3 linked regions of the Drosophila melanogaster genome follow. The gene in region 3 interacts genetically with the main gene of each other region. Each region holds a gene or a part of one and is shown on either strand. Other genes may lie near its edges.

What was found.
Region 1: of exu (region 3) and mira, changing one suppresses a phenotype caused by changing the other (phenotypic suppression), as found in Drosophila melanogaster (one study listed by BioGRID).
Region 2: of exu (region 3) and BicC, changing one enhances a phenotype caused by changing the other (phenotypic enhancement), as found in Drosophila melanogaster (one study listed by BioGRID).

What each region holds. Positions count from the first base shown.
Region 1 is NT_033777.3:19,931,442-19,937,043, forward strand, and holds mira (miranda), read right to left. Parts: upstream 3,558-5,602; 5' UTR 3,233-3,557; coding exon 743-3,232; 3' UTR 593-742; downstream 1-592.
Region 2 is NT_033779.5:16,040,333-16,048,194, forward strand, and holds the start of BicC (bicaudal C), read left to right. Parts: upstream 1-1,714; 5' UTR 1,715-2,195; intron 2,196-2,584; exon of another isoform or gene 2,585-2,742; 5' UTR 2,743-2,754; coding exon of another isoform or gene 2,755-2,889; 5' UTR 2,890-2,913; intron 2,914-3,491; 5' UTR 3,492-3,722; coding exon 3,723-4,029; intron 4,030-4,090; coding exon 4,091-4,140; intron 4,141-4,219; exon of another isoform or gene 4,220-4,455; coding exon 4,456-4,525; intron 4,526-4,588; coding exon 4,589-4,668; intron 4,669-4,733; coding exon 4,734-5,060; intron 5,061-5,508; coding exon 5,509-5,634; intron 5,635-5,694; coding exon 5,695-6,076; intron 6,077-6,269; coding exon 6,270-7,397; intron 7,398-7,625; coding exon 7,626-7,862. Other genes in the region: CG45084 (uncharacterized protein), read left to right, coding at 2,755-2,889. UniProt on the Drosophila melanogaster protein: RNA-binding protein that is involved in oogenesis. Required for correct targeting of the migrating anterior follicle cells and the establishment of anterior-posterior polarity in the oocyte. May act as translational repressor of oskar during oogenesis.
Region 3 is NT_033778.4:20,666,927-20,672,955, forward strand, and holds exu (exuperantia), read right to left. Parts: upstream 3,836-6,029; 5' UTR 3,712-3,835; exon of another isoform or gene 3,710-3,711; intron 3,566-3,709; exon of another isoform or gene 3,452-3,565; 5' UTR 3,425-3,451; coding exon 3,275-3,424; intron 3,206-3,274; coding exon 3,053-3,205; intron 2,970-3,052; coding exon 1,674-2,969; 3' UTR 1,649-1,673; exon of another isoform or gene 1,426-1,648; intron 1,357-1,425; 3' UTR 501-1,356; downstream 1-500. Other genes in the region: Fem-1, read right to left, coding at 1-268; galla-1, read left to right, coding at 4,458-4,752, 4,820-4,932, 5,193-5,343, 5,414-5,511. UniProt on the Drosophila melanogaster protein: Ensures the proper localization of the mRNA of the bicoid gene to the anterior regions of the oocyte thus playing a fundamental role in the establishment of the polarity of the oocyte. May bind the bcd mRNA.

The sequences.
Region 1 (5,602 bases), on a different chromosome or scaffold from region 3:
CCATCGGGGATAAGGCGGTGCCAAGGGACACGTGTGCGTAATCAGCGTCGCAAGAATCCATCGGATTGCATGGCAGCCCACACCCCTTCCTTCTCATTCTTCAACGAGGAGTTTCAGCATGAGAAAATTCCACCACATCGAAATCAAAAACGAGTTGCACGGGGTTGGTATGAAAAACGTAAACAATTTCCTGATTCTTTAGGTACAGGCTTTTTTAAATGCATATACAAGATATAACGTATTTTAAGAACGAAGTTCAAGGTGATGATACTGTACACTTCTACATTTTAGATCAGAATACCTTTTATTTCTTTTTTTTTTTTACAGATAATTTGACCTTATATGAATAAATTGGCTAATAAATGGAAAAAATAATTGATGCATTCTCATTATTTTCGTTACATTCAAAGATGAGTCTATTTAATTTAAATAGCTTTAAAGAAGGTCTCACTTTCCAAGACACCTTTTTCAGATTTTTTATTTGATTTCTCATGCCTTAAAATGCATTGCATCAAAATGATATTTTTTATGAGATTAGGTAAGTCCCATATTTCCAGAACACAAACGCGAAAGATAGAAAACAATCAGATTTGGAATTTAGTCGGAGAGTGCTCGAAAGAGATTTCAGAAACACCTCTGGCTGTGTTGTGTGCAACGTGTATTGATTATATTTCGAATCGGATCTTAGCTAAGGTATATAATTTATAATAGTACGATAGAGTAGTTGTTACAAAGGAATAGCCTAGATGTTGCGCGCCTTGAGCACCTGCTTCTGTGGCGGACTGGGCACGTTCTCCTTGCCGGCGAACAGGACAGTCTTCTTGGGAGTGCTGGCCGCCGATCGTGGTGTTCGTGGGGTGTGGGGGGTGCGCGGACTGCGCGGGGTGTGCGGCGCCTTGGGTGTGCGGGGGGCGGGACGGGGCGAGGACTTGCCGGCGGACAGGAGCTCGTTGATCTCGCTGGTGGTATCCTGGCGCACGCACTTGTCCGAGGAGTTGAGCAGCCACGTGGTGATCTTCTCGCAGTCGGATCGCAGCTCCGAGTCGCACAGCAGATCCTCGATCTTCTCCAGATCGGTGGTATTGGAGCGGTTGGCCTTGCCAGGTGTTCCCAGCAGAGAGGCGGATCCCGGTTGCTTGGACTTGAGGGCAATGTTCTCCAGCTTGAGCTGTTCGCACTCCTCGCGCACCTTAACAAGCATCTGCTCCTTGTTGTCCAGCTCCAATTGGGCGAACTGCAGCACGGTGGCGAATTCATCGAGCGCCTTCTTCATGTCCACCATGTAGGCCTCGCGCGTCTCGTCCTTGCGGCGCAGCTCGTGGTAGTGGGCCAACTGGGCGTCGCCATCGATGCGCTCCTGGAACGAGTTTGCAATCTGATTGAATTTAGCCAACGTCTCCGCCTCGCCGGCTAGCAGCTCGTGGAGCAAGGACTCCTTCAACGATACCTCGCTCTGCAGCGTCTGGGAGGAGGATCTCAGTGCGTTGAGCGCATCCTGGCTCTCGGTCAATTGCTGGCGCAGTTGCTCTGCGTCCGCCTGCAACACCAGATAGCTCTGCTCCAGCGCTCCCTTGGCCAACTGCACCGATTCCAGCTCCGCTCGGTACTGCTCCACATCCGCATCGGACTTCTTTAGACGCTCCATCAGAATGTTGACGGTGGCCCGGGTGTTGGTCAAAGTCAGCTGGTAGTTGTACTTCTCGGTGATCGTCTTGGCCATGTCCTGCTTCAGCTGCACCAGCTGCTGCTGCAGTGCGTCGCTCAGCTGGATGTAGTAGTCGATGCCGTTGCGCAACTGCTCTTCGCATTTCTGCAGCTTCTCGTCGCGCATGCGCAGCATATCATTGGTGGTCTCCAGCAGCACCATCACGTCCTGCTTCTCCAGCTCGATCTTGATCAGCTCGTTCTCGGCCAGCTTCTGGCGCTTGTCCAGCTCGGCGCGCCAGTAGCTCTTCTCGCGCTCCACCGCGCTCTCTAGGTCGCTCTCAACCTGCTGCTGCACCTTGGCCACCGCCTGCTGCTGCTCGGTGTGGCGAGCCTGTTCCCGGCACAGCTGGCGAATGGTATCGCAGTGAGCATCGATCTCGCAGTTCTTGTCGAGAAGCTCGTCTTGCAGCGAGCGGATCAGAGTGCACTTGTTGGCCAAGTCATTCTTCAGGGTGTTGCGCTCCACCTTCAGACACTCCAGTTCCGCCTGGCAGCTCTTGGCCTCCTGTCCGTAGGACAGGGCATCCTGTTCGATCTGCTGCTTCAGCTGGACCACGTCGGCCAGCAGGGAGGCATTGGTCTTCTGGAGATTCTCTACCAGCTCAATGTTCTCGGCGGTCTTTGCCTGCTCCAGGCTGCAGTGCTCGCGGGCCTGAGCCACATCCGCCTGAAGAGCAGAGAGTTGTGCCTGCAGCTGCTCCTCCACCTTTTGACGATCCTCATTCGCTGTCTGCAGCAGCTCGTTGGCCAGACGCAGTGCCTCGCTCTCGGCAACCAACGCCTCCACTTGCCTTTCATGCTCGTCGTGCTGTTGCTGCAACTGCTGCTCCATGGCGGCCAAACGCTCCAAAAGATCAGCGTGCTCCTGGCCCATCTGCTCGTTCAGAGCTTTGTGCGATAAATTCTCACTGGTCAGGGCTTCGATGAGCCGATCTGTCTTGGAGGTAGCCAACTCATGCTCCTCGCGCAACTTGGCCTCGGCTTCCTTCAACTGATCCACATGGCGGCGCAGCACGTCCAGTTGGCTCAACTGGCTCTCGATCAGTTCGTTTTTGTGACGGATTTCGTACTGGAGTGCCTCCTTGCCCTTCAGACGGCTGGCTGACTTGGCCTCCTTTACGGGCGTGGTGGCTGCCGAATGCAGAGGAGTGGATGCCGCTGTTGAGGCGCCACTTCCGCTTCCGGTGGCCGTATCCGTGTGACTGGGAGTCGGACGGAAGCGTAGGCGCTGCGGCAACGAAGGAGTACGGAACAGACGTAATCCCTTTGACTTTTTGTCCTCCTTGGGAATGGCAAATTCCTTGGCCTCCTTCGAGCTGGACGCGAAACGCACGGCGTCCTTGAAGAACTTCTCGATCTGCTCCTTGCGTTCCGGTTGAACGGTTGGCGGAGCAGCGGCTGCCGAAGACGCGGTGGGCGTGGCACTGCCCGCCGATCCCGCCGAGCTGTTGGACGCAGCTGGCGAACCGCAGATGGCCACATCCACGTCGTTGAAACGCTTCAACTTGGCCTTGGAGAAAGACATTTTCGAATTTGTTTTTTGGACTTTCGGTTTAACTTGGTAACGATTCTTTTCGGATTTTGTATCAATGTCTCATTAACAACGCTCGTTTAACTTTCGATATAACAATAACTCAACGATCAAACATAAACACAACTTTAACTTTCGGTTTAATTTGGTTATCTTTTCCTTAGGATTTTTAGGTAAACTGTTTAACAATATGGTAGTAGTCTGTAGTCGTATTTAATTCATCTGTACTTTGTGGTCCGTTCTGTGCTACACTAAACCCGCTATCCCGTTGCTACCCGTTTCACTGTACCTACGCGTTCCGCTGTCAAAACCTAACTGAGCTCACCTTCTGTCCAAGATCCCTGAGGCAGACATAGCCTCCAGCTGGCACAGCGAGTGGAAAAGGGATGGATAGAGTGTGGAAACGAGATAGACCCAGGGGAGGCAAAGAAAACAACCCTCGCTCGAGCAGGGGTCGCTTCAACGATCCTGCATTGCTTCACCTATGTGGGATATACCCAACATTTCAGGTTGGGTATTTCCGAGATCTTCAAACGAAAAATGGTTTATGGTTTTCATTTCGTAGGACTTTCATTTTAATCTAATAACATTAACATTGAATATAATAATTAGTGGACATAGAAAATAATATCACGACAATTTTGGATTTTTTAGATATTAGCTGAACAAAAATTTCATATTCCTTAAACATTCTAATGTTAATTTAATATTAGACAAGTCATTTGCAGACGGCATAATTCTTCTGATCTTAACCACTTTTCAATTTAAATTAAACATATAATATTATATATTTTCTATAATGTCCTCTTTTAAGAGTATCTAGAATTCAGGTAAGCCGAGTTATACGACTCCTAATTTTTTTTTTATTTGGTGGTAGTTCGTGCCACAGTTCTTGATCCCCTGTTCGTCTTATCTGTGTGTTTGTCAAGACGTCGGCCTCGTGTATATAAAGGAAATGTTTTCATTTTAGCGCGCGCAAATGTTGCAATTGTAGTTCAAGACAGCACGAGGAGGGTTCGAGACCGGAGTGGGGGTAGCAAGATGGGTAGGGGTGGAGATAGGACGACGGGGTTCCGCATTCCCCGGCTTAAGTACATATGGGAAATGTGCCGTTGCCGACGAACAGAGACACACTCACTCACATCTGCCTGGGCTTCTCCTTTCCTTCGAGGACTACAAGTAAATGCGATTGCTTTCGAGAATTGCGAGACTACGAGTACAAGGATATGAGCTGATGGCTGGATGGACTGCCTCATCCGTTAGCTCCAACACAGCTGGCAGCCAGCATAATTCGTTAATTTGATACGAAATCCGATGCCCGCATAATTAAAGGAAAATGCGTCGGAAATGGGCGAGTTGCGCCTGCGCAATGAGTTGAATGGAATTGAGGCTAAATGAATTGCATGGAAAATGGAAATGCGTCGGGAAAATTGATTTTTCATGTGATATCGCTAGGCAGTTGGGCAATCGGCCATCTATAATCTGTATAGAGAACCCCCTCATGATATCCTGCTGATCCTGCGGTAGCTGCCTGTGCATCCTGTCATTTTTTCACTTCTTTTCTCCAGTGAGTTTGTCACAACTGCCAACTGAAATCAGCTGGTTGTTCCTTTGATGGCAAACAATGACCGGAAGATTCTAGCAACTGGGAGGTGATAATTCTAGGTTAAAGCAGACAAGCATGAAATTCTGGGTGGGTCAGCCACACACAGCTGTGCAAAAGAATTATAATGTAGAAAGACAATGTAGGGAGCCATAGGACAAGGGAAATCGTTTGGAAATCAATAGAATATTAATACTCAAGCATTACTTTTTAATTTATATTTATGCTTCACAACCTTTGTCAATTTATATAGTTCATGTACATAATATGTATGTATATAAGGTTACGAAACCATCCTTTGGTTTCATAGAGGTAATATTTTCCCATAAACATATTTGCATTTGATTTTCCCAAACTCTCTTATAATAAAAATGGAAATTTTACGAAAAAGGGTTTTCATTATTCGCTGATCCAATGATGTGCAGGACTCACAGTAATATTAATGATGTTAATGACATTTACCCTACGCCGCGACACCTTCAACATCATTTTCCCATGCCTGTCCATGCATAACTACCATTCATTGAACGCGCTATAAGGTAACGCGATCTAATGATGTTTCCATGGGATCCATTCTCACTTCTCCTGAGCCAGAGCCAATGTCATCACAACACAAAGTGAGTGCAACAAAAGACTGGCTTGGCCCCTGAAGATCAAAGGGGTTTCGCACCCTCATGGGATACAAAACGTTACTAAAGAACGAGGACGTGGATCTGAGTCATCGACCTTTGAGCAACGTCCCGATGAAGCTACGAAGAAAA
Region 2 (7,862 bases), on a different chromosome or scaffold from region 3:
AAAATCAAAATGTACTTAGAATAAATACTATGTACTTCAAACTCTTATGTTATATATCAAGCGTTAAATATATTCAAATAAAAAATCAAAAAGTTATAGGAATTGTGCACAGTGTACAGCAAGCTGAACTTTAGACTGCACTTGAGCTTAGCTTTCGGGTACCGTAGTGCATTTTAAAGTGGGGTTTTGACAGCTTCAAAATTGTAAACAACCGAATATAATTTAAGTCAATACTAATACCCGTTACTTTTAGAGTAAAAGAGTGTTCTAGATTAGTGGAATCGTTTGTAACATTATAAGGTATTCATCTGAGTAACGGGTATCTTATAGTCGAGAGAATCGACTATAACTTTATTTTGTTTGTTTTCTCCTTTCAGAATGAAGAAGACATTATGTCAATGTGTAAATAAAAGCTTAAAACCAAGCACAAAATTAATATTTTGTAACATCCACTGTACAGAAAGGAACTTTTTACGGTTGTGGAAATGAAAAGCAAAATTAATTATTATAGCAAGCGTTTATTTGTAGAAAACAACGAATACATAGAGCAAATTAAAACGAAAAAGAATCTTTATTTTCAAGTCTTGTTTCGGCAATATTAAAACTCGATGAAAGCAAAAGAATTATTTGAACATTTTTGGCCAACAAAAATCCAGCGGTAAATAGTTCCTTTACCTTAAACACAATTCAATGTATGCAATGGGTAATCGTAGCCCAAAAACAAATGAAAATGTATATTAAAAAAAAATAACAATAATAAAAAATAAATGTTGAATAATTTATAAATTCAGTACATATATTTAAAGTGTAAATAAAATGATAAAACGTAATAATAAAACTTATGAAATATAAATTAATTGGTGTACATGCAAAAACAAGTAATACAAATAGATAATTATATAATAATAAACTGCATGCCGCCAGATTTTTGTAATCAAATCGTGTTGTGAAAGTTGTCTTCCCTAATTTATGCCCATTACATTAAAACATTGACAGGGGATTTTAATTTTAATTTCAGTATGGTTTCAATTATGGCCAATATATATAATAAACTATAACCATATGTATAAGAATGTAAAAAGCTAGTTTTATGTACATAAAAATGGGACAAACATTTTGATGTTACTGAATAAATATTAAAAGTATTAACCAAGAAATATGAAAGTAGGATAAAAAAACAGTGAATGTTTCCAGCTGCTAGGAAAAACGATAAGTCTTAGATCTATAAAGAGAATCAAAAACGCGGTCAAATGCATAGCACATAATATATTCATATCCCCAATAAATAACCCGAAATGTGTAAAGCCAGAATAAATGTAATAATAAGATTGAAGAAAACAAAATAGTGATGTAAAATAGCAGCAAGGAAATAAAGTAACCCCTATTCAATAACTATTGCTGACGTCTTTTACTCGTACATGTCATCATTTAATTACGTAATTTAAGTTTGGTTTATTTAAAGTTTGATTTCCGGTTGTACAAGGGTGAGCGTACTTTTAAAACCCACTGTATATAAATACTTTGGTAAAGTGCAGGTTGGGGAGTTTCAGAAGCTTGAAAAGCTCCGTTTCCCGTTATAAAGCTATTGCTGAATATCCGTTATCCAGTTGGCTGGCAGCTTTTTAAGGTTGTTCGTGCACTGGCTTCACTCCCCACAGAACACAGAGCTTTTGGATCTGAAGGTCAGTTGGGACTGGGACCCACATGCCGAGCTTAGTTTGATAGTCAGCGCGCTTTAATGACGACAACTGCACGGCGCGCACAACCCATTAATAATATATTAATTCAAAAGAGCTATAAAATATTAAAAAATATTCAAATATAACTAACTAACGCGCAGTGCACGATTTTCTGACAACAATTCAGTTTCGCTTTTCATGAGACTCCATTGCATTTTCCTTTGTGTTTTTCACACACGTGGTGTTTTTCTGTTACTCGCACTTCGATAGTGGTTATTTTTTTTGGTTACATTGAAAAAATACACCGACTGCCAGCCGAATTCCCATTCGAACCTTAATTTGACCAATTGACGGAAAATTAATTGCGCCCAAAATTAATTAGCAAGCGGATATACAATTTTTTTACGTGAAAAGAGCGTGTTATTTGTCGAAAAGATTTTACAATTGATTGTGTTTAAGTAAATTAACCTGCGATATCTATGTGTATGTGCTACGATCCGAATTTCTGACATTACGGTAAGTGGCGTGTTTTTGGCGGGAATAAAGTCGGTTTCTCTTTGTGCCGTATTTCTCTACCGTTTTTTCTGGCGCCAAAATGAATGAAAACGGTTGGCAACATTTCAAACTTAACATTGCAACATTCTAACCGCTGTTAAGCGTTTGCTCTGCAAATTGTTGTAGCTATGTTGGAGTTCTGGAACACCACCTCTCCCTGCGACTTTGTTTTGTTTTTCGCTCTCGACATATGGAATCGAATCTCTTATTCCGGGAGCGGTTCATTGACCCAGCAACAACAATATTCGCCAGATTTTCTCCTGCCAGCGATTTGCGGAATTCATCCGCTCAACAGTTAGAAGTAAATGCCGTCGAGCAGCGGGCAAAATCGATCGACGAAATCGAGAGCCGCGTTCAGTTGCCTTCAAGCCGTACTTAGAAGAAGTGCTGGTCCCCCAGAAATCAGAGAGATTTTTCCCAACTTGCATTTTTCCAATACTCTGACAAAGCCCCTCAGACCGTCGCAATCACACAGCTATATACTGATATATAGATCTCTATTGCGCAGATCACACCTTAAATGCCTTTCGTCGAGAGATTTCAACAAATACGTAATTTTGTTATGAACGTCTGCCTCGTCGAGGCCATCCAATTCGTCCAGGACCTCTCGCACGCCATCTGTCTGGACCTCCAGGGCCTATTTAATCTCAAGTAGAGATCACCGAGCGATCTCCCAGCGGTAAGTTACGCCATTGGTTTTTGGGCACAAGGAAGTGAAAGTGAAGACACGGGTGAAATTACGGTTTTCGGGATCTCGAGAGAAAGGGGAAAGTACGAACCTCATGGCAGCAGCACTCCATTTTGAGAGGTTATGTGAAAGAACACACAAGAAAGTTTGGAATTTTCGACAGGCGGCGAACCAATAATAATGTTGTTATCCATAATAATATTAATTAGTGAATTTTTATTTCACCTTTTCGCGGCATTATTCTCACAAATTTATAAGACAGATTTTCAAATTAAGACAGAAAGTTTTTTAATGTTAGTGAAAAGTACTTATTCCAGTTGATAGTTAAATACTATTTACCGCAAAAAATTAAAAGAGAACTAAATTTAAAGGTAAAATCGTTTTTTTTTTTGGAAAGTGCATTGCTTAAATTATGGTACCGACTATCAAAATAAAAATAATTAATTTTTATATGGTGTTTCAATATTCACTTTAAATTACCTATGACTCGCTTTCTAACCACTCTCTTCTTATTACGAACATCAATTTTCTTGTTACATCATTTCGGACCTTTCATTTTTCATCACCAGCTCATCCCATCAATTCAGATACACTTTACTTCATTAAGTAGCAGCAATCATCTAACAAAGCTGACCAAACAACGGACCGGCTTCCAGAATCCTTAACTGAGACGGACGTTTTGCTTGGTTTTTAAAACTAAACGACTTTTTGGTACCCACACCTGTTGACCTCTGACGAATTTCTCGATCCACTGACCGATCCACTGATCCAGTGATCATCATCATCATCCGAATTCCACAATGTTGTCCTGTGCCTCTTTCAATAAACTGATGTATCCGTCGGCCGCAGATGTTGCCAAACCGCCAATGGTGGGCTTGGAGGTGGAAGCTGGATCCATTGGATCCCTGTCCAGTCTTCACGCCCTTCCATCGACCACCTCGGTGGGCAGTGGAGCCCCCAGCGAGACGCAGAGCGAGATCTCCTCCGTGGATAGCGATTGGAGTGACATACGCGCCATCGCCATGAAGTTGGGCGTTCAAAACCCAGACGATCTCCACACGGAACGTTTCAAGGTGGATCGACAGAAATTGGAACAGTTAATAAAAGGTAATGCCTTTATATATAAAAATAATAGATTCCTTATTATACATTGCCTTTTTTCTGATAGCGGAGAGCTCCATTGAGGGAATGAATGGAGCTGAATATTTTTTCCATGACGTGAGTACATATTTTTAAGTTTTGGGCACCTATTAGCTTCACACTTTCTTTTGTCTCATTTTGAGACACAGAATGCCATGCCTTATAAATATTGAACATATAATAATATGTTTCCTATTCAATAGTATATTAAGTTATTTAGTTTTTGAGCAAAATTTTTAAGTTAATTGATTCATGTCTTTGTTTGGCAATCTGACTTTGCATCTATAAAATTTCAGTGTATAACCCAATTTGTTTTAAGATACTGTTAGGACCGACTCTTTTGACTTGATATAAAAGAATTCGCCATATATCCAAAACATATTCTTTTACTAGATCATGAACACTACGGATACTTATGTGAGCTGGCCTTGCAGACTCAAAATTGGTGCCAAGAGCAAGAAGGGTAGGATATTGAAATATTTTCAATGTTCAAGAGTATTTTTCAAATAAATCCCATAATTTAAAGATCCCCATGTGCGAATTGTGGGAAAGGTGGATCAGGTTCAGCGGGCAAAGGAGCGCATCCTTAGCAGTCTTGACTCCAGGGTGAGTGAGCCAAAGCATAATACAAACTTATCTGTTTTAATTGTTACCCATTTTTCTCCGAACAGGGCACTCGAGTGATCATGAAAATGGACGTCAGCTACACGGATCACTCGTACATCATCGGACGAGGTGGCAACAACATCAAGCGCATAATGGACGACACGCATACCCATATCCACTTCCCCGACTCGAATCGCTCCAATCCCACGGAGAAATCCAACCAGGTGTCGCTGTGCGGCAGCCTAGAGGGCGTGGAGCGAGCCCGGGCTCTCGTTCGGCTCTCCACACCGCTGCTCATCTCCTTCGAGATGCCCGTAATGGGACCCAACAAGCCGCAGCCCGACCACGAGACTCCCTACATCAAGATGATCGAGACCAAGTTCAATGTTCAGGTGAGTTCCAGATGTCGGAGTCAACTAAGTGTAAGATTATAAATTAATTATAAATTAATCATGGCATGTTACCAAATATTATTTGCATTTGACTATAATGGCTTGATTAGTTTAACTAATTTAGGTAAGATTTTGTAATATACATTCATACATACATTTAAGAGGGGGTATAGAAAATGTCAAATTTTTTTTTCCCAACCCTTGAGAGTTGTGATTATATATTGCTCCATTATAATTTTATCAACTGATGTTACATTAGGCTAATTTTGCAGTTGTGTTATTATTATATATTTTTAAGTGATTTAGAACGCATTTAAAGTAATAAAGTTACTTAAACGTTATTTTCGAATTTGGCAACCTTAAATTACAACCAAGGATTTTTGTAAACAGTTTTTTCGTTGCTCTTAATTATTATTGAATATATTTTAAAGATTTTTCCTCCTTTCAGGTCATATTCTCCACGCGTCCAAAATTGCATACCTCGCTGGTTTTGGTCAAGGGATCCGAGAAGGAATCGGCGCAGGTCCGAGATGCCACGCAGCTGCTGATCAACTTCGCCTGTGAGAGTATTGCGGTAGGTTCGAGAAGGATAACTCAAAATAAGGCTCATCAGCGAATCCTTTTTCCTTTTTAGAGCCAAATCCTGGTGAATGTCCAGATGGAGATCTCGCCGCAGCATCACGAAATCGTCAAGGGCAAGAACAACGTGAATCTGCTGAGCATTATGGAGCGAACCCAGACCAAGATCATATTCCCCGATCTGAGCGACATGAACGTGAAGCCCCTGAAGAAGTCCCAGGTCACGATCAGCGGACGCATCGACGACGTCTACTTGGCGCGACAACAATTGCTTGGCAATTTGCCCGTAGCATTGATTTTTGACTTTCCGGACAACCACAACGATGCATCCGAAATAATGAGCCTCAACACCAAGTACGGCGTCTACATCACGTTGCGCCAGAAACAGCGGCAGAGCACCCTGGCCATTGTGGTCAAGGGAGTGGAGAAGTTTATAGGTAAGATCTCTAAAGCAATGTGTAAAGTGTATGATTTTCGTTGATTCTGCATTAATATACGATTGCACTTTCCATTATTGTTTGATTTTTATCCCATATTTTCCTTACTTTTTAGATATATTATACAATTTAAGATATTTAGCAAGTGCTGAATTAAATTTCCGTATTAATCCGTTGTTGTCACCCTCCTTAGACAAAATCTACGAGGCCCGCCAGGAGATCCTGCGCCTGGCCACGCCATTCGTGAAGCCCGAGATCCCCGACTACTACTTCATGCCAAAGGACAAAGACCTTAATCTCGCCTACCGCACCCAGTTAACTGCTCTGCTGGCTGGGTATGTGGACAGCCCGAAGACTCCATCGCTGCTGCCGCCCTCCTTGGCTGGCCAACTGACGCCCTATGCCAACAACAATCACCTGTTGTTGAACGCCAATGGCTTGGCCACGCCCACTGGGGTGTGTGCGCCCACCCAAAAATATATGCAGTTGCACAACAGCTTCCAACAGGCTCAGAATCGTTCCATGGTGGCTGGTGGGCAGAGCAACAATGGCAACTATCTGCAGGTTCCTGGAGCGGTGGCGCCGCCTCTCAAACCGCCGACTGTTTCGCCACGGAACAGCTGCAGTCAGAATACCAGTGGTTACCAGAGCTTTAGCAGCAGCACCACCTCCCTGGAGCAGTCGTATCCGCCGTATGCCCAATTGCCGGGCACCGTGTCGTCCACTTCATCCTCCACCGCGGGAAGCCAAAATCGGGCGCATTATTCGCCAGATTCCACTTACGGCAGTGAGGGTGGTGGCGTTGGCGGCGGAGGTGGTGGTGGGGCGCGTCTGGGACGACGCCTTAGCGATGGAGTGCTGCTGGGGCTGAGTAATTCCAACGGTGGAGGAGGTAACTCCGGAGGAGCCCACCTCCTGCCCGGCAGTGCCGAGAGCTATCGGAGTTTGCACTATGACCTTGGAGGAAACAAGCACTCCGGCCACCGTGCCTTTGACTTCGACATGAAACGGGCCCTGGGCTACAAAGCCATGGAGCGCACCCCGGTGGCAGGGGAGCTGCGAACACCCACGACCGCTTGGATGGGAATGGGCTTGAGCAGCACCTCGCCCGCCCCTGCCCCGCTGGAGAACGGGGAAAATGGGGCTGCTGGTGGAGGAGCATCTAGTGGGTGGCGGCTGCCACCAGGACTGGGTTCCCCTTACGGACTGAGTGCCACCACCGGACTCCTGGACGCCACTCCAGTCAACCGACGGATGCAGCTAGCCAAGCACAAGGACATCCAGACTCTGCTCACCAGTTTGGGTCTGGAGCACTACATCAGTGAGTAGCTCCGCCGATCATGTCCGTTTTTACCAACTGTGTACTAGAAGTCTTTTATAAAGCTATCATATATGTCTGGCTTGAACTGGAGAGTGTTTTATTTAACGCAAACGTTTTTTCACAGTCATAGATAAAGTTACATAAAGTTCAACATCCATATAGCATTTAAAATCAAACTATTTTATATTTACAACCTGGGAAAACTACAGTTTTTATTTCTCCTTTCAGAAATATTCGTTCTAAACGAAATCGACCTGGAGGTGTTCACCACCCTGACCGAGGAAAACCTGATGGAGCTGGGTATCGCGGCGTTTGGAGCTCGCAAGAAGCTGCTGACGGCCATTCACACGCTGCTGGCCAACGAGGCGGCCTGCAGCACAATGCCCAGCAGCAGCTCCTCGCAGAACTCCTCGTCGCCGCGATTCTCCGGAAGTGCGGCCCCAGGCGCAGAGCGCCGTCCCTCCA
Region 3 (6,029 bases):
CCAGGTGGGTCTGCACCGCCCTGCAGCTAACCGAATTCAAGATCTCGACGAAGCTCAACATCTGACCACTGCGGGCCGCTAGGTGAAGGTTGTTTAGCTGGGAGAAACGTAGACGCGGCTCGTGGGGAAACTTGGCCCGGATCTCCTCGGAGATCTCCACCAGCATTCCGTGGGCCATGTTGAAGTAGCCGAAATCGGGCGGATAGCCGTCGTATATGGACGTATGTGCCTCGTCTAGAGGCGCCTCTTCTGCGGGATCGACGTCCATTCTGGCCGGGAAATGGACGATGCTGCACTGATCGGTGATCACTGATCACCAGGTATGGGTATGGAAGCAATCCACACAGGCCCACTCTTTCCAGGCCAGGCGGCAATACGGTCACACCTAGCGGTGCACCTGCGAGAGTGAAAACAGTGACTCGGCGCGATAGGCTGACCGTTAGTTTATCGTTCGTTTATTCGCGCCCTTTGCAGATATTACATATGTTTGTTGATTCGTTAGTTTATCGTTCGTTTATTCGCGCCCTTTGCAGATATTACATATGTTTGTTGATTGTAAATATGAAACATATATGAAATACAGCTTGAAATACTGGATATGTTCACAAGTGTTGGGTTAGATTAAGTGTGCGAATTGAATATGCTTTCTGTGTGCGTGCGTGTGCGTGCGTAAGGTTAACTGTATTAGATTGGTGTATTTTTATATCGTGCTTTCTTTAGCTTCAATGTGAAAGTTTTCTACATTGGACCAGGCCTGGATCTTGGGTTTTATTCATAGAGTTTTGATAGTGTGCGTCGACAGGCCCGTCCAATGGAAAATTTTCATCGAGGCGTTTCGTTTTGGATCATATTTTCCCAATCTCCCATTTGAGTGCGGCGATGTGCATCGGTTCGCCGGGAAAACTATGCCTAAACGCAGCGAGTTCTTAATTGTACATCATATTTGTTGTTCCTTCTTCTCCATCATTATTTCTAGCATACGCTGCTTTAAAGTGTGGATATATAGTCTCTTGAGTTTACAGTGGGCTCAGCATCCTCCCTATGCTGGACAATATAGTTTTCAAACGTCTCGATTAACAATTCACTCGTTTCAAAAATGTCGCTTGAAGCTTGTGTCATCACTATTCAACAGTCACTGTTTACGTCACAGTCACGGTTTACTCACACTATCGATACACCAACGTGCTCGTGAGTTGTGCGCGGATGTGTTTGTTGTGTTCACGGGAAATTTGCTTCCACTGGAATTTAAAGCTTGTCTGCACTAGATCTTCTAAAAGGAAGAAAGTTCGTATGTGGTTTAAATCTCCATTCTCTGCCCTTGTCTTCTTGTGTTTTGATCATCCATTTTTTGATATACTGAAATGGCAAAATGTCGGTTAGGAAACTCAATCCCGAAAATCCCAAAGTGATTTGAATGATTAGCTTAAGCGTTGTGAGTTTATATTGAAAATATGTAATAAAACCTTTTACATTTAGCTAAAAAAGGCTACATTTTTATCAATATATTTGATGCATAAAATTCATTAAAAATACAAGCAAGTGTACGCAATTCATAAAATTAATCAACAATCTACATGAAGGCTTACCCCTCGTTAACTACGTTATCTACAAAGCAAATGGCAGAAGTATCTCAATATAAGATATTTACTTTACGGATCCACCAGAACTGGATTTTAGTTGGAGGCCGTGATGGCCACCGGTGTCGGTGAGGGTTGTGCCACGACTGGGCTTATGGTTACGGCAGGTGGAGCGCTATTGTTGAGCTCAGACACGCCTGAGGAGGATATTTCAGCAGCAACCTTGAGTCCATTGGGGGTTGCACCCAAGCTTTGACGCGAGTTGCGCTTACGGTGCATACGCGGCTTGTTTGGCGAGGGAGTCTTGGTAGTAGAGTCGGGCAACGAGGAAACGCTGCGCGACTTGTCACCTCCTGCTCCAAACTCGGTGCTAGCCGATGGGGAGCTGGATGGCCTAGCGTCCTTCACCGATTGGCGGCCGCCGCGTCGATTGCGACGACGATAATTGTTATTATTGTTGCTGTTACCCTTGACAACCGGCTTCACCGTGGTCTTCTTGGGATCGAAATAGCTGTCCAGAAGCTCGAGCAGCTCCGCCTTGTCCTTGCTCTTTAGCCGGCCAATTGACTGCAGGGCTATGTCCAGGCCCTCGATGTTTTTCTCTGCCCAGATGGCACTTAGCGTGTTCAAATCGAACCCATTCTCGGCCAGCACAATGCGGAACTTTACGGCACGCACACGATGGTACAGAGTGGTCTTGAAGTAGTTCAGGAACACCGGACGGAAGGAGTTTTGACGCTCCAAATTTTCGATCTGGATATCCAGCTCCAGGACATCGGACACCACCAACTTGGCAAACGGACGTATGGCATTAAACATATTCTCCAATGCCTCCGAGCTTTTTGGTTCCGGCTTGCCGTCGGAGTTGCTCAGCTGAAGGGCCACATCAAAGGCCAATTTGGCACGAACACTGGCATTGCCATCAAACAGTTCCCGCTTACCCTGAACGGCGTTCTTGCTAGATTGCTTATCGTCACCATTGGTCACGGTACTGTCCCTGGGGGATATCGATACCGAATCGGACACCATACTAGATCCAGATCCCAAGCCAGATCCAGATCCAGATGTGGACGCAGAGCAAGCCGCGTCTTCCTCCTTGGTCGTGGACAAGATCTTGGAAAGCTTTCGCAGACTGTAGTTCTTTATGTTGGCATCGCCAATGGAAGCCTTGGCCAGATTGATGCTGTTTGCAAACGACTTCACCGACGCGGTGAAGCGCTCCAACAGGCCGTACTTCTTCAACGACTCCAGGATCATGTAGGGAATGAACTTGCGCTCTTCATGATAGATAAGCACAATCCCGTCCGAGCTGGGACCCGCCTTGGTCTTCAGTTGCTCAAGCCAGTTGAGGAAGTCCTTGAGGGCAGCGATCTCAGACTTGGATTTAATGATCTGAGAGGATATTGTATGTTGAATTGTGGATGCTTCAATACTTGACTGCCACTATTAAATGGACTGGACTGCACTGGACTCACCTTATAAGTCTGCATCGACTTCAGCATACGATAAAAGCCAATCGAAATAACACGAACTTGATGACGCTGGCGAGCAGCTGGATTCAGATTCATATATGGCATGATGTACTGCTCGAAGTGGTCGGTGGGTGTATAAGCGGCCAGCTGGACAATCTGTGGGTTTATCGCAAGTGGGGTTAGGACCGAACGACGAACGATCTAACGGCAGTCAGGGGGTATTACCTCATCCATTAGACGACGTCCAGTGGTGTCGATATCCACGCCCACCAGGATATAATTACCGGCCGGCAGCTCAACTTTATCGCCCACGGGCGACGAGGATTGATCGGCGACGGCAATGGCCACTCCGGCATCGATGTTATCGGCAACCATTTTCTTATATGATCTGCGAAAAGCAATCTAGAAAATTCGGATAACGAAATTAGCTGAGTCACTAGAATTTTTTTTTTTTAAGGAACCGATTTCCTTTGCAAAACGCGAACCGCTTTCACTAGATTTTCGATATGAAGTGACGGGCTACGAATTTTCAAGAGTCTATTAAACCCAAAGCTACAACTAACGGTTTTCTTCCAGTGGCGCCATCTTTTACACAGATGTTTTTATGTGTATGTATGTATGTTCACTTTCACCACACTTTAGCACTTTTCTTTTGGGCTCACCTTTATTGAACTCCTTTTTCGTGTTGGTTTCGATGGGCTCTTTCGCTTTTTACGAACTTTTTCCTTTATTTTTCAAAAGGTTAAAGCGAAATTTGCTTCTGTTCGACGAGCTTTCACAAATAAGAAACAATTCGTACGACTAACTAAAACGTAATGAATAATTTCCTGATGCACCCGACGGCCTAGGAAAAGTGCGCGAATTTGACATATGCAAAGCCTGCTAATCGAGGTTTTTGACTTAAGTACGATGGGTTAGACAGCTGCAACTCGTCCACATCTTGCCACAACGCCCACTGTGCAGGTGAAAACTTTTTGCAGAATATTTTTACCGCTGCTATAATAAAATATAGTCTTTCAGCTTGTAAATAAATTTTTTTCCAATTATTAGCCGGCAAAATTGGTGGGTAAACAACAAATATTTGGACAAAAGCGCAGACAAGAACTGATAAGAGGATCAGGGATGACGAATTTCAAATGGTTGCGCCAGAGATGACAGGGTATCGATATCACTATCGATAGACTTATCGAAGACGGCTTAGCACTTATACCTACTCTGCAGCCCTGGTCGGCAGAAAAACAATAATCAGCTGATGCCATCGCTTATTTCCAACAATTTGCACCGCAAAAGTGAAGAATTACCAAGCAAATAGATCGCCTGCCGACCGAATTATGCTGCTGTAATCACCCAAGCACACAACGGTAAAGATAAAACCAGGCGAGATAACACCACGCACAGGTGCCACAACATGCTGTCCTACATAAAGCGCAAGCTCTCCGAATCCGACAGCGGCGTCAGTTCGGTCGCAACTGTGACGTCGTCGTGCGGCGGCGATAGTGGGAGAGCGGGCGGAACGGGCAGCAGTGAAAGCGGTACGGGCAGCAGCAGCGCCAGTATCAGCGGACGCAGCCAGAACGCCGACGAGTTAGTGCGCAAAACGAGCCAGATGTCGATGGATGATGAGGCCATTGCCTTCGGGGAGGACGCACTGCTCCATGAACTGGGCTACAAGAATCAGACGGAACTGCAGGAAACCATCTACGGTTCGATATTTAATGGCATTCTTTTTCACTTTGGCCTAGTTATGTAATTTCTCTTGTCGTTACACAGATCTGTTGCGCGGCATTCGCGATCCCGAGAAGCCGTGCACTTTGGAGGACCTCAACGTTGTCTACGAGGATGGAATCTTTGTGATGCCGCCCACGCGCTCCAATGTCTCAGTTGTACGTTACTCAATATCTTTATAAGCCATAAGCTTGAGCCCTAATCATCATTTCATCATAAGTTAAATCTGCGCGTGTGTTTATTTGCTTTCATCACTATTGTTGCTTAATATTTGAAAGGATTAACGATTTAGCTTCAAAATGACTTTAAAATTGATCTCATAGCTTAAAGTACTTGTATTATACTAAATCCACACCTCATAAATCTTTTGTGTAGTAAAAAGTTGAAATGCATGGTATTTGTCTCTTAATTCTTTCAGGTTCGCATCGAGTTTAACCCCACAGTGCCACATTGCTCGTTGGCCACGCTTATTGGACTCTGTATACGCGTGAAAGTAGAACGCGGACTTCCGCACAACATAAAGCTAGACATATACATCAAGAAGGGAGCGCATCAAACCGAGGAAGAGAGTAAGTTGGACCAACCAGATACTATTATCATACATATGTGTTCTAAGTAAAAATGATTACGTTTCCCCAGTTAACAAGCAAATCAATGACAAGGAGCGCATCGCTGCGGCCATGGAGAACCCCAATCTGAGGGATTTGGTCGAGAACTGCATCAAGGATGAGGAGTAGCTCTCTTTGCCATATCTTTTGTACATAGGGAATACTTTGAGGAATGTCTAGGATTAAGTGTACCATTAAGTTGCATCAGGGAGTGTGTGCTTAGCATTAAAGCCCTTAAAATCTGTTAATCGCTCGGCCGTTTTGATTCCACCAGAATATCGATTGCTCAACGTCCTATCTATTTTCCCGCCTATGCTGCTTACTGATAAGGTCCCCCGGGCCCAACAACTCTCATTGTTTACATTGTGCCGAAGCGATATGGCCGTCGGACATTCGGCCCAAGAAAACCGTGTGCACATCGGTGTCATGGCGGGTGAATGAATCTGAATCGCAATCGTATCGATGGGCCGGCCATGTTGGGCACCAGCCAGACGGCGTGTACGTCACACGGATTTATCAGCTTCAGAAGAGTAGAGAATGTTTGGGGCGTAACGCAGGGTAATCACCTGCCGTTGGCGCTGTTAAGTTGAGTGCATGACACACATTCGACTCAACTCGACTCGGCTAATTTCTTTGCAACTCTCCGG